Linked DNA regions of Drosophila melanogaster. The protein of the gene in region 2 interacts with the protein of the main gene of each other region in a pairwise test. Each region holds a gene or a part of one and is shown on either strand. Other genes may lie near its edges.

Region 1 (6,458 bases), on a different chromosome or scaffold from region 2:
GTTGCAACATCCATGTAGTGGGAGCACTACTCCACTTGGCCTCTGGTCCCCTTCTCTTCGAAAAGAAACCCGTTTTCAAGTTCAAGTTTAAAGCGTCAACGCCGAAGATTATCAAAGAGTCAGTGACTCTTTTGTGCACTTAATTATGGCACATTGGGTTGGTTGGTTGCTTTTGTTGTCTTACATTTCTCGGCTTTTTGTTTGTTTGTTTTTTTTTTCTTGGGAAGTATGAGTTAGTTGGTCACACGTCTGCGGATTTGCCTTTGTTTACCCATTTGATGTCTCTTTTCAATTTTAATCATTGCCCAATCTTGTGTTTTTCGAGCTATTTTATGTGGCTTTGGAGGTGTTAAGAATTGATTAGTTTGACTTTATTCAGCGGCTGTTCGAGCTCTTTATGCTAAAGCGGTTATAAACGTTGTTTTAGTTTTAATACTAGCACACTCCCTACAACGAAGTTGCTTTTGTGGCCAGTCTGACACATACAAATTTTGCTTAATATATACTTGTGTTATAGATTCGTGAAAAATAGATTTTGAAATATATTTAAATTAAACCTACGAATATATAGCGTTTTTTTGGAGGAGTCTATACTTTTACTTATATAGTTCTCTTCTTTTCTATACTGAATAAAAATAAACAGACCATTGACCCGAAGTTCAGATCTTAGTTCTTGATCAGATCCAACCGGAATCACATGAAGGAAACGAAGGAAAAGGCCACCCACCAGATTTAAAATGCCCACAGGCCAAATTAAAAACTGGAACTGGAACCATTGTGGACTGGTAAATGCCAAACTCGATTGCAGATTATACAATGCTGGCCCAAAAGGCAAAAAAAAACAGGTGTTGGATTTTCTTTTTATTTACAGCAGCTACGGATGGTTTTGTGGCATGCCGCTAACTTGGGCAACTTGTCAGGCGAATTAGATTTACTTTGTGGCACTGCTCATTAGATCACCGATGTCCATGTGGGGATGCAATCCACTGAACTGGGGTTTGGTATAAAAGAGGCCTGCTGGGATCAACTGCAGCAACACAATTGGTTAAGCCGCCACAGAAGCAGCCGGAAAATTACCTACAGCAAGATGAAAGGAGTAAGTGGTACCAGGATATAAAAGGATAATACAATTATTAATAAAAAATACTTTAGAAAATATAAGCAATTTTTTTTACTTAAATCATATAAATAACATTTGTCTTTTCTTCATTGAAAGCTGCTACTCATTACAATCGCCTGCTTGACGACCTCCATCCTGGCAGCTCCTGCTCCTGAACCCGCTCCAGAACCATCTCCGTCTCCAGCTCCTGCTCCATCTCCATCACCCAGCATTGGAATCGGAATTGGTCATGGCTACGGTGGATATGGCCTGGGATTGGGTCTAGGAATCGGGCACTACGGAGGACTCTACGGGCACGGCTATGGCGGGCACTATGGAGGTCTTGGTCTGGGATTGGGCTACCATGCACCCATCATCTCCAAGACGATCATCGGCAAAAGCTACTTGGGCGGCTATGGCTATGGCCTCGGTCACGGATATCTCGGAGGCTACGGCCATGGACTGTACGGAGGACACGGTCTGGGTCTGGGTCTGGGTCTGGGATACGGACTGGGATATGGCTATGGCCACGGTTGGTAGAGGTACTCCCAAGTCAAGTAAAGTTAAGCCAAATGGAGCCGGGACGAGCGTGTGAGAGTTTTCAATCAAGTCATATACTTCGCAGTACCCAAATCTTATTCAGTCAGTCACTCAGCAAGTCAATAAATCAATAAAGACAAAGCAAAAAATGTACAAAAAACTAGAATCATGGTCAACCGTTTATTAAAACTGGATCTTTTTTTCTCACGGTTCTTTGAGACATATTTATAATTGTCTTAATTGCCTATACTAAACATATATTTTGATACTTAATGTAAGTAAAGCACACTTTTGATGTTCTGAACAAAATATATAACATTCGTTTACGATTTCAAAACTTTGGCTATAAGGAACATCCAAATACTGAAATCTGAAAATAAATATCTGAAAAACAAAATGAAACTGAATATTTGAAAATTGTCAGCACGTTTTTCATATTGCCTCAAACGCTTGATCAAATAAAACAGTTTTAAGTTTAGTTTTTAAATTCAATCGAAATATATTTCAACATCAAACCCACTCTTCACAATCTGTTTTTTAACAATTTGATTTCACTTTACAAAACCTTCACTGATTTCTCTCTCTCTCTTTTTTCTCTGTGTATTTACATCTCATTTCTGACCGATCCAAACAAAACGAAATGCATGCGGAAAACGATGATGGGTGGTATGGACCTCGTTTACCATCCATGAGCGAGTCCATAGGCAGGAGCAGCAAGAGCTGTCTTGTAGCCCAGTCCCAGAGGAGCACCCAGAGTAGGATATGCCGACTTGTAGCCCAATCCCAAGGGAGCGGCCAGAGGGGCGTGAGCTAGTCCCAAAGGACCATGAGCCAGGCCAATGGGACCGGGACCATATCCCAATCCGTAGGCGGAAAGGGCCGGAGCAGCCAGAGGAGCGTGCGCCAAGGCCGGGGCGGCATAGCTAAGCCTGGGGGCCAGCCCGTAAGAGGCAATCGAGGGAGCAGCCAAGGCGTGTCCATAGGAGATGGCCGGAGCAGCTGCAGTCAGCGGCAAGGCCGGAGCAGCTAATCCGCCCAAATAGCCAGGAGCAGCAGCAGCGCTGGCCAGGCAGAAAACGGCGAAAACGAACTAGTTGATGGGGGAAAAAAAAATGAGATACTAACAAAGGACTTTTCAGAGTATATCAATTCCACTTACGTATTTGAACATTTTGGTTTTGGTTGCAAGTTGAACTCGTGGCAAGAACACAAAGCTGAATAATGCCGCTGTCTAAGGCACAAATGCTTTTATAGCCCACAGACCTGGCCAAAATGCAGCACGAGAACGGATCCAAACTGGCGGCCCAGAGACTTTTACTTTTGTTCAAACGAGAGACATAGGCATATTCGTAGCCCAAAACCGAGTCCAAGAGAGCCACATGCAAAGCTGGCCTGTCGAGTATCGAGATGGCGATGGAGACCTGGGACCCACCGGAGCACCACCTGGCCCCGCCCCAGACAACGCGGATGTGGGCCTGGGCTGCGATTTGGCCATACCCTTTCGGTGGTAAACTAAATGAGAGATTGTTTTTATCTAATGAATAATAAGGATTTTAATACGTAATTAGGAAAGTCATCAAATGAAATATTACATAAATTATTCATTAAATTTTTGATTCTTCTACAAGGATAGTAGTTATTCTGTGAGTTATTCGGTTCACAATAATGAAATATTTATATTTACCTATTTACACTATTAGAACTTATTTTGTCTTAATATTTTTAATATATTTATGGAAATTTCAATCTAAATATATATTATCTATTATAAGTATTATGCTGTTTATATTGAATATTCATAATTGTCTCCAGTCAAAGGGTATTTCCCCAATCGATCAACGTTTCGACCATTTTTGTTTTTATTTTGAATAATTTCTGATAAATTTGTTTTTGGTCTATTTACCTAATGCCGAAGCCGCGACAAGGTGTGCGTGAGAAAAACTTAAATTGCATTTTGTATCTTGCCTTTTTGGGTTCTTGTATGCATTTATTTCCATGCAGGCAACAAGTTTCGCCCATTCCGCCGTTTAAATTCATTCAAATGCGTGAGGCTATTTTGCTGTAGAAATTTTCGCAGTAAATGCTCGAGCATTCGCGGAGCCAAAGTCTTAATAATTACAACACAGGCCGGCAATGAAAGGGGCGTGGCAGATACACACCTGTGCGTAAAACCGAAGCAAAAACCAGATCCAGATCCGCCTCGAGATCGTTCTATGTGGGGCAAATGCAGTGTGTGCCAAGAACAATAAACGATCGTAGACAGGGGCGTGGGCAAGGTCGTTCTTCTAGTGCAACGGGAGGGAATCCTGGGCCAAACGACGCCACTGGCGGTGCCAACTTATGAACCAGTGCACCCATAACTCATGCAACTGCAACAACAATGCCGAAGGAACTGCGGCTGCCACTTAATTGCCGGCGACCCACTCGAAGCACATTTTCCAGACAGCGCTTTACGCAAGCTCCAAACACTTAACACTTATGAAAGGGGCGTGGCCGAAAAGGGGGGCTGATGGGAGGGGGGTCGGATTGGAGACCCAATCCAGCACTTGTTGAAATCACCGCCCTGCAGGCAGCAAAAGTGCATGCGTGCACTTAACACCTTCTGCGCAAGTTAGTTTTACTCAATGTGATATGTTTTGTTAAATATTATATTAGTTAAACACTTTTCTTGCCTGCTAATTTGTTTAAGTTTATTAAAACACAAAGGCTATAATTATAAATTATTTTAATAGAATTAAAAACAAGCGACGAAACAATCAGATGTTAAAATTAATAATTATGGTACATTTTAATGAATAAATGGTTGGTGTAAAGGGGCTGGAAACTCCGAACTTTCGAAGCTTCTGATTTTGATTCCAAGAATCCCAGCACTTCAATACTTAAAGGTTCAACATGCTGCGTTGGTGCACAAAACAAATGGGGTCCAATTCACACCCACTGACAACAAAAGGGTTAAGGATAAGGCCTAGCTCAGTCCAGAAAAGCCCGCGGGCAAATGGAAAGGCAAAAAGCAGTTGACAATACAAGGTGGCCAAGGAGGGGGGAAATGGGGGAGCAGGTCAACAGCCGGGCTTCCAATGCGTAACTCCAAGGGGATTTGCATACACATACGTATACGCCGTGTGGGCGATTCCAATAGCGATGTTAGTCCAGTCCAGCCGAAGTTCTCCACCCGATTTGCACTTTTGGGCTGTAAATCAAACTAGCCAAGCATTTCAATTAAGTGCCTCCTGAGATCCGGCTCAATGCGTCGTTGCAGCCGCGCTGCTATCTACACGGTGCGAAAAATTGCTGGCAATTAATTTTGTGGCACTTGTGCAACACGGCGATTAAATCAAAACGCAATTTATTGGGCAGCACGGCTGAAATGCGAGCGCCTTTAAATCGGGTTTGGCTTCTTATTGATGTCTCCGCAAATTGATCGCAGCAAGTTCTAATCGACGCAGCCCCCCCATTATCGTTCCAATGCTCTCGAATGACAGTGTACAACTGTCAATTAGACAAGATTGTTGTAATCGCCTAAGCAGTCACCGAACAGCGGGGGGTAATTATAGCACATGGGCCTAGAAGTCCCCTTGTTGGCCAAGTTAATACGCGTACTGCTAATTGGAGGTAGGTTGGATATCATATTCAATTTGAAAAGAGCGTCCAGTATTAGCTAGATTACATAGAGATACGATACAGCTATACATTAAGAACTGAGTTGCATCCAAAAACCATATATATTTATACTTACTTATAAAGTTAGAAAACAAATATTTTGATATCCTCAATTCAGACACGGTATAGACTTACCTTAACTGAATACTACGACAAGAGAGCATTTGAAACTAATTTTATAAACACACTTACCTAAAGTACAACATTTAAGCATTAAATTAGACTATTTGACAATATTTAACTTATGTTAATTTAAGCTTACACACCCCACCCCCAAACTCTTTCATAGAGTACCCACTCCAGTAAAGCCTGGGAAACGGAACGTTTAAGTGCAACTTCTGGGGCTTCGGCAATTATAAATCGCCGCATGTTTCGCGAGGGGGCAGCTGATTAATGGGGCGTGACCATCGAGACAAAAGGCAGCGTTAAATTTTAATTTAATTTTCCGACTACAGCCACAAAACAAGTAAATTAGCTGCAAGAAGTGCAACTGCACGTGCAGAATGAGGCGTTTTTCAGCTTTTACAGGGCTATAAAAAGCGTTGAAAGCATCGAGGAGAATTGAGAATCAGCAACTCAAAGACTTGAATTAATTTGCAAAATGTTGTTTCTTAGTTAAATGTCGTTCGCTTGATTTGATTTTCATACTTTTCGACGGTTGCACGCGGCGTATGATTAATGCCAGAGTTGGCGTGGTGGGTTCGTTTGAGGCGTGGCTTCGTTCAACTTATCGATGGCGGGTGATTAGCAAAATGCAATTTAAGCGGCGCCCCTCAATGTAGTACCATATTCGCAGTGGCGATGGAAATGCATTGACCTCTAAGCCAACACACACGCAACTTGCAATCAAAGTGATAAACAATGTGCCGCGAGCTGGCCACATAGACCTCGAAGGGTCAGGGGGGTATCAGGGCTAAGGGGGTGCGAACTGCGTAAACAAAGCTCAAGGATTGCGTCCTGGAACGTGGCGAAGTGTCGATGAACCAAAGTGGGCGCACAAACAGGCCAGAGTTGGGCACACCCTTGGAGGGCACTCTGTCATATGGGAGCTGTCTAATGAAAATGGTGGCCTGATTTAACCTTAAACGAATTCATTCTTCTCATCATATAATAGTTTAAAGTGCTCTGGTGACCATTGCAAATGTTAAAAATTAAAGCT
Region 2 (7,905 bases):
AACTTAACGCGCTGCGAATTAAGGGATTTTAAAATTAGTTAACGCTGCGTAGCTGCAACTACGGTGAGCAAGCTCATGCCCTTTGGTGTTATTGTTGATGCTGCGGATGCTGCCGACTTTTTTCAGTCATGTTGACTAGAAAACACTGTTTTATTTGTTCATAACTACGTGATATCTGGCCCGTTGTTTAAATAGAAAACTTTCTTATCTACAATGAGACCATCTCGCTGCCCAAGAGGATGGTTCCATCAAGTCGCAATCGATAGTGCTCGCTTATGCGTTAAATGAATATCAAATGATATTTAATAAAATTACAAGTCAAATCCGAGGTGAGCAATAATGATTTAGTAGCAGAGTTCGGTAACGAATTTTGAATAAATGCGCCTTGCGAGTGCCATCCCTAGCGGCCGCCGTCTATCGATAGACGCCAGCGATAACACTACTATCGATTGCCGTGGCACACAGCCAGCGGCCCTATAAAAATTGCTTTTTGTGGGGCTGTCAGCTCAGTCAGCGGCTCATTCATCACTTTCCGACGCGCTCTAGTAGAGCTAGTAGACCTTTTTATCAACCCGTCAGTATTACGCGTCCCCCCGAAATTGCCCCGCCGCCCGAAACGCAATAGCATTCCGCAAAAACAATACGATAAGCAGCAACAAGTGTTCCAGAGATTCCCTTGAAACATACACAGAATCTAAAACTCCATTGAAATTGGTTCTCAGTTGTTTTGTTTACCCAGCAATCAGTGCCCAAGAACGTGGCACATTTCCAACTGTGGGCGGGTAAACAATTGCTGCGCAACAATTAAGAAAACTTGTTCGCCCTGTCTGTGTACACGCGAATAAATCTCGGGAGTACAATTCCATACCAGCCGGTGACGGGCACGGAAAAGCAGCTCTAACTGTGCAAGATGATTCCAGGCTATGGACCCGTCACGCAGGCTCTGCTGGGCACCCTGCTTACCTGGGGACTGACCGCCGCTGGCGCCGCCCTAGTGATCTTCGTCCGGGGTAACCAGCGGAGGTCTCTGGACGCCGCCCTGGGATTCGCAGCTGGCGTAATGATAGCAGCCTCCTTTTGGTCACTCCTCAAGCCGGCCATCGAAATGGCCGAGAGTTCCCATTTGTACGGAGTATACGCCTTTCTGCCCGTCGCTGGAGGCTTCCTCTTGGGATCGATCTTCGTCTACGGATGCGACAAATTGATGTCATACCTGGGCCTTAACAGCACCAACATGATGATCCAGATGACGCAATCAAAAGCCAAGGCGGACATAGCCATCGAGGACTCTAAGCGCAATGGAGTTGCCCCCGATAGGTTGGCCTCAAAGAGTCTGGACAGCTTCTCCGACTGCCTTAGCGTGCAGCACAGCGGCGAATCGAGACGCCGAAAGAAGGGAGCTAGCATCAACGAGATGGAGCAGTGCACCTACACCACGCCTGAGGAGCAGCAGCGCGCCGAGGACGCCCTGTCCCAGTGGAAGAGGATTATGCTTTTGGTCGTGGCCATCACGGTCCACAACATTCCAGAAGGGCTGGCTGTGGGCGTAAGCTTTGGTGCCATTGGCTCCACGAACTCATCGACATTTGAGAGCGCCCGCAATTTGGCCATTGGCATTGGCATTCAAAACTTCCCCGAGGGATTGGCTGTCAGCTTGCCACTGCATGCCGCAGGATTCAGCGTGAAGCGGGCTCTGTGGTACGGACAGCTGTCCGGAATGGTGGAGCCCATTTTTGGAGTTCTGGGCGCCGTGGCGGTGACCTTTGCCAACCTGATCCTGCCATACGCCTTGTCTTTTGCGGCCGGAGCCATGATATACATTGTGTCGGACGACATTCTGCCGGAGGCTCATGCCAGCGGAAATGGAACGATCGCCACGTGGGGCACTGTATCCGGCTTCCTGATCATGATGTGTCTGGAGGTGGCGCTGTCGTGAGGAACGAACGGCTCGCCTTCGCCCGCCTCGCAGATTTCATAATCTAGTGCTAAACTCAAAGATTCCACTGTACTTAACGCAAAACTCTGCTGTCTTGTAAATAGAAGCATGCTGTGTACAAATCTCAGAACCAGCCCTAAACGAGAATCTAATAATCTAGCGTAGAGTGTAAGTTTTGTAGAAAGAAGCTTGACAACCAGCGATGCCGCGACGACATCCGTGCAATTGTGTATCTGTGCACACGTATCTGTACAGCATTCCCAGCGAGTTATGTAAATGAACTGTTCTAGGAAAATTTGTAAACAAACGTGCATGTGAATTAGGTTTTAAGTTGTCACCGGCGTCCAGTAGCTTGTGTCTTTTTTAACCGTCTAATGTCTAAGTAATAAACTAAACGAATTCAAATGAACATCTCTCAGTTGCACCCACTCGCTTTTTTCCCTCACAAATGTAGCTGTCTCCGTCCGGACAACTTCCTGACCGTTTCTTTGGCCGTACGATAGCTGATAAGGGCAAGTAAATTCACTTAGATAACCCGGAGTGCCAACAACAACAACAGCTGGTTGACTCGCTGTCAGCCAGTGATAAGTGATAAGAATCTGTCCGACACGAAGAGTTCCCAATATTGCGCGTATTCCGTGTTTGAGATACGTGCAGTTTCAGACGGCCCGCGGTCCTGCGTTTCTGTTCGCCATTTTCTGGATTAACTAATCATTTCAGATATGTATGTTTGTACTCGCACAAGTGCTTTGGGCCACAGTCCACCCACTGTGATCGTGGTCATCAGGAAAAGTGGTCGATAAGACCTCTTGCCGGCTATCTGTTGTACAATTTCCATATAGTTCTTTATGTGCGCCATAAAACCATAAACTCGGTATGAATGGCCTATTAGTTGGGGGCATATCTCAAGTGGAGTTAATGCTTCTGTGTCCGCAATGCCATAAATTGATAGTGTCAACGATTAGACTAATTAAAGACCTATTTCTTTTGTAATCGAAGTGTAAGTTAAAGCTGCCATTTCCAACCAAAATGTAATGCAGAGTTGATGAACTCGAAAGTACATTGTCGTCTTAGATCTGATAAAGCTTTTGGGAAGTTGTTAGGCCTAACAAATAATGATATGATAAGAATATTAAAAGTTGTATGAAGACCTTGATAAGTCAACTTTTAATATCTACGTACATACAAGCCTATTTTTGCAATGTGTTATTGGGTATTTTGCAGTGAGCTTAGTATTATGAGAAGGCAAGCTAAATTATAAAGCCGAATGGTGACAATTAAAAGTTATCTTCTTAAGCCCCATTTATCCCCATTTGAATATATAAATAAGATCGATGATGCAACAGAAGCCACAATTAGTAATAACTTACCGGCATTTTGCCAAAGAGCTCGGGATACTCGTACATGCGTATATTGCTGATTGGAAATTGCTTGGGATCGCATATTTTCAGCTGCACCTTGCAAGCTTCAATCCACAGAATGGAAACGACTGGTATATTCCACTCGGTGGCCTTTTTATAGGTGGAGAGCAGGCCATCCTTGAAGACAACGTGTGTGGTGGTTCTACAAGCCAAACGAAAAATGTTTAATTGAATATATTTTAGTCAATCAATTGTAATCCCTTAGCTTACCGCGTTAGGCGATCTTTGACCTGGGCTCCCATCTTGGCAATAATTGATTTTACGCCCTCAGAGCGATTGTCGTTTCCAGTTCGCACCTCCACATATACGACTATGTCCTTGAGCAACTCGGGGAGGGAGGGCGGCTCCTGGGGATTGCGTTCTTCCATCGTGATGATGCTTTGTTCGGCTAAAGGCACATCGAAGGTATTGTATGCCGACTTGGTGGGGCTTCTAAAAATGTATACAATGTAAAAGCGAATGCATTTTTTTTATTATGATCAGTTTCTTCTCAAATCAGATTAGATTGCATTGCAAAACAATAATTAATAATAATAATAATCAATACTTGGTTTTGGCAAAAAAACCTGGCTTGTTAATATAATAGTTATTGATGGATATGGAATTATTAGGGATTGCATCTAAAGAATCTAACTTTACAAAATTAGCGATAAAATGGCTATAAAAGGATGGATTAGTCAAGAATCTGAGCTGTTTTCACTAGTTGACCTTTAGGTTGTATAAATAACAATTGCAATAACCAATTTTTGTCCTTACTTTAATGCACGAATGGCGCGTAATCGGAGTGCAGCGTTGGGGCTGTTGAGATCTTGCTGCAGTCGGGCCCAGTGTCCTTCCTGCCTGGTTGGCGTGGCTGCTCCGATGGGTGGATCTGGTTTTGCTGCAGATCCTTCTGCTCCCGCCTCGTTCTCGTCCTGGTGGAACTCGGAGCGGTGCTGGCTGATCGCTTTGGAGACGGCTAATGCCGGCTTGAGCATCAGCCGATCCCTGGCCGCCTGGTCATCTAGCAGGAGGGAACGCAACTTGTTAGTAATGCTCGGTTCGTTTGTCGACATGGTAATCTGTTTTTTTTTTTTTTTTTTGAATACTACGAATTTTGGGTGAGCTACGTATCCGGAACTAAAACTACTGGGTTGGGTGTTCAAAATGTAAAATAGGCATGCACAGCCAACCTGCCGGGGCCTGGGATAGAGATTTGGGAGACGGTGCCGCTGCTTTGGACCTGAAGTCGCCCAGATTTGAATCGTGCAACGGTCGGCGGGTCGATGACGCCGCTGTTTTCTTGGCAGCTGCGGCGGAACTGGCCACGACCGATCCGTACGTCTTCGTCTTCCACGTGGGATTGCGCAACAGAAACTTGTCCATGGTCACGGGCTATGTTCTCCGCACTCTGGCGCTCCTTATTGCAATGAAGTCGGTCGCAAAACTCTGCAAAAGAGGCGCCAATAATTTTCTAATCCAAACCTCACAAAAAGTGCAACACAATGTGATAGTGTGACCGGGTAACCTCAATGCTACAAGATCACTCACTGGCAATCGGTTATCGTTCTCACCGAAAATCGATTGTTTTTATATGGTCTCCGTTTAGTACATTAAGATTTTAGTTCGATGACGAATTTGGCGGCATTTTATTATGTATTTAATTTAGGAGACAAAAAATCTTGTGATAGCGCAGGTTTACTTTTCACCACCAATGTTTATCTTAGAAAGAGGCAAAGCAGTTTAATAAATTTTAAGTTCCGATATTTAAACACAATTAGTAAATGCAAAAATGTCGGAAAATATATATAGATATAGATATGTTTAAATGTTCTCGTAAATGAAAATCAAACTACACACAATTATACAAAATACCTTTATTATTCAGTTTCAGCAGCGTAGATTGTAACCCGTTTAAAGTAAAACACTTATATTGACTTTCATAACTCTTTTTTAATGCGTACTAATATCGATTACATGTTTTTAATTTGATCTTATTTACATATGAAGTGTATGTACAGAAAAATAATAAGAAAATAATAAATTGAACTTGCCTAAAGTAGCAATTAATTTGCATATGACATTATCTGCCCCCATCCTGAATCTCAGCCAAACTCTCCGTGCGCTTATCGTGGGCTCTAGGACATTCTCTCAGTCTTAAACGATTTAAGAAACTATGGCAAAATTTTAATTACTCATTACAAATTGCATAATCATTAAATCTCTCTGCTTGACTTAAAGTTAACTGCGGTTAATTAGAGTTAGTGCGTATTAAGTGACGTACGCTAAATGGCTGCATTTCGCTGCATTTATCACAAAACTGAGCGAAATGCACTCCACAGTGATCCAGTGAATCGATGATCCTTCACTGACCAAACTTAATCGTAGGCTTTGACTAAATAATTTTAGAATTAACGCTAGACGATGAATAAATTAGGGCCAGCCAAAGTGATCATTCTGAAATGGCGAAATGTTCTGATTAACTGAGATACACTTAACAAATTAAGTGGTCACTTACCATGTGCGCTGATCAGACTACGTGCATCCCAGAGGGACATTTGCGACTGGGAGAGACGGTGCTGCGGTGGATACAGTTTGTAGGGGAAGTACGAGTGGTGGAATGTGGCAATGGGAATGGGTTGCGCCGGCTGCAGGAACTGCTGTTGCTGGTGCTGTGCCGAGATCTTCCGCGAGATCTTTGGCTCCTTCTTGGGCTTGCTGGCTCCTCCAGGGCACGGCTGCTTCGAGGACTTGATGAAGTTGGGAATACGCGCCAAGAGTCCGCAGTAGTACGGATCATCCTGCTTCTTCCGCTGCTGCGACCCGCTGCTCTTCTGTCGCTTCTTGTCCGCATATATGGGCGTCAAAGATCCGCCAGATTCGTAGTCGGGCTGCAAAGTGTAAAAAGCAAATAAGAATTATTAGGCTAAGTTTTTTTTCCCAAACAGGTTAAAAGGTTTGAAGTCCCAAATTTTTCAGGTAGAATGTAATCTAGGTTAGAACCCACCTTGGGCACATATGGACCCTCGTTGAGGAAGGCGGCACTAAAGATGCTGCGCCGTCCCTTGCTGGAGTTGCTCGAGTGCTGGGAGTTCTGGGAATCATCCGACGCGGCGGGCGTAGGATAGATCAATCCCACTTGGCTTTCGATGGTGGAGTATGGATCCTCGCTGCTGTTCGTCAGCGGCACTCGCATGCCCATCGCATCCAGTGACTTGGGAATCGTTTGGAGGCGGCTCCTCAGCATGTCCATGGCCACCACGTTGACCACGAGTATCCAGACCGGAGAGTTGATAAGATTGTTGTTCGACTTGACAAGCGATACGGCGGACAGGCACTGCCGTTCCAGTCTTCCGCGCTCCGGATAAGTGCGGGCAAACTCGCGGTTTATGTTCGTCTGGAACTTCTTCATATCAAAGAGTCGAGCGGAGGTGGCCGCGGTGAGGGACATCTGCGGCATTTGGATTATGTCGCCACCGATCACCGTCTCCTCGTTGCCCTGCGATGTGCTGTTCACGTAGATGCTGCTCTTGCCATACCGCTTGATGAATATGTTGCCGGTGTCGTCCATTTTGATCTTGAATCCATCGCCGATGGACTTTTTGATCACCTTCGTCTCCGCATCGCGCATCGGATTATCGAAGCCATTCAGCCCAATACTGTGGATTTAGCCATATTAAATAAGTTGTTCTTAATAGTCAAATATTAAGTTCAAACTCACCGCACTCCATCGAATCCATTCTTAGATCCATTTATGGTTATCACAGAGGAGCGGGCGTAGGCCTTGGCCACTCGCCGATTTTTCTCGAAGACAATTATCTTGGCCCAGATCTCGTCGTCGATTTGCTCCCACTTGGACAGAACCTCGTTGATGTGATCCTGCGTGGTGTCAATAGGTATGGATAATGGATGAGCTAGAGATCAAATGAGTTATAATGGACAGGAAACGCACCCTGAAGAGCTTTTCGCGATCGTGCCAGACGTCTTCCTCCTGCTCTTCCTGCCCGATGGCATCCAAATTGTCTAGGGAGCGCGATATGATCTTGCGGCGAGAAATCATCTTGTCGGTCTGATCGCTTGATTCGTTTCCTCTGCAACGGTAGAACATTTTCCGAAATTATTATAAATAATTATGAGACAATTAACCTGCGGGTGCGAATGACTTTGATTGGATCTGGCTAGCAGTCGAAATTAAATCCCCGTCGAATGGGACACGCACTGAAAAGATTATTAGGCAATCAGTCCAATCAATCTGCAAGCCAATGAACTCTGCGCACGGATGGCAACAATGGGTGTTTTTGGGCTTGGATTTTTTTTGTTAGATAGCTCGCTCCTTGGGTCGATCCATCGAATCACCAATGTCACCGCCTCTAATTGAACGACGGCGATGCCTTGACAATTGTTTGGTGTTAAACACTTTGTCGAACACTACTCGCATTTTTGCATTTATATTGTTGTTGTTGTTGATATTGCTTTTTTTTTGGTTTGTTGTGTTCGGGTCAGGCCAACTGGCCTGGCATTTCAATTGGCCATTTGGGGTTTTCCTTCAAAGTCAGTGTGATTTGCTTA

Evidence for each region. Proteins that work in one complex are often made in the same cells at the same time.
Region 1: the proteins of MCPH1 (region 2) and CG13065 interact in a two-hybrid assay, tested with the Drosophila melanogaster proteins (one large-scale study listed by BioGRID).

The regions. Positions count from the first base shown.
Region 1 is NT_037436.4:16,273,839-16,280,296, reverse strand, and holds CG13065 (uncharacterized protein), read right to left. Parts: upstream 2,863-6,458; 5' UTR 2,811-2,862; coding exon 2,799-2,810; intron 2,730-2,798; coding exon 2,319-2,729; 3' UTR 2,117-2,318; downstream 1-2,116. Other genes in the region: CG13050 (uncharacterized protein), read left to right, coding at 1,088-1,096, 1,217-1,639.
Region 2 is NT_033778.4:11,899,052-11,906,956, forward strand, and holds the start of MCPH1 (microcephalin), read right to left. Parts: upstream 4,868-7,905; 5' UTR 4,723-4,867; coding exon 4,530-4,722; intron 4,488-4,529; exon of another isoform or gene 4,413-4,487; coding exon of another isoform or gene 4,361-4,412; coding exon 4,114-4,360; intron 3,790-4,113; coding exon 3,568-3,789; intron 3,500-3,567; coding exon 3,307-3,499; intron 2,344-3,306; exon of another isoform or gene 1,937-2,343; coding exon of another isoform or gene 911-1,936; exon of another isoform or gene 466-910; intron 12-465; coding exon 1-11. Other genes in the region: Zip48C (Zinc/iron regulated transporter-related protein 48C), read left to right, coding at 911-1,936; reb (rebuf), read right to left, coding at 5,789-5,793, 5,855-6,227, 6,344-6,995, 7,058-7,215, 7,289-7,396.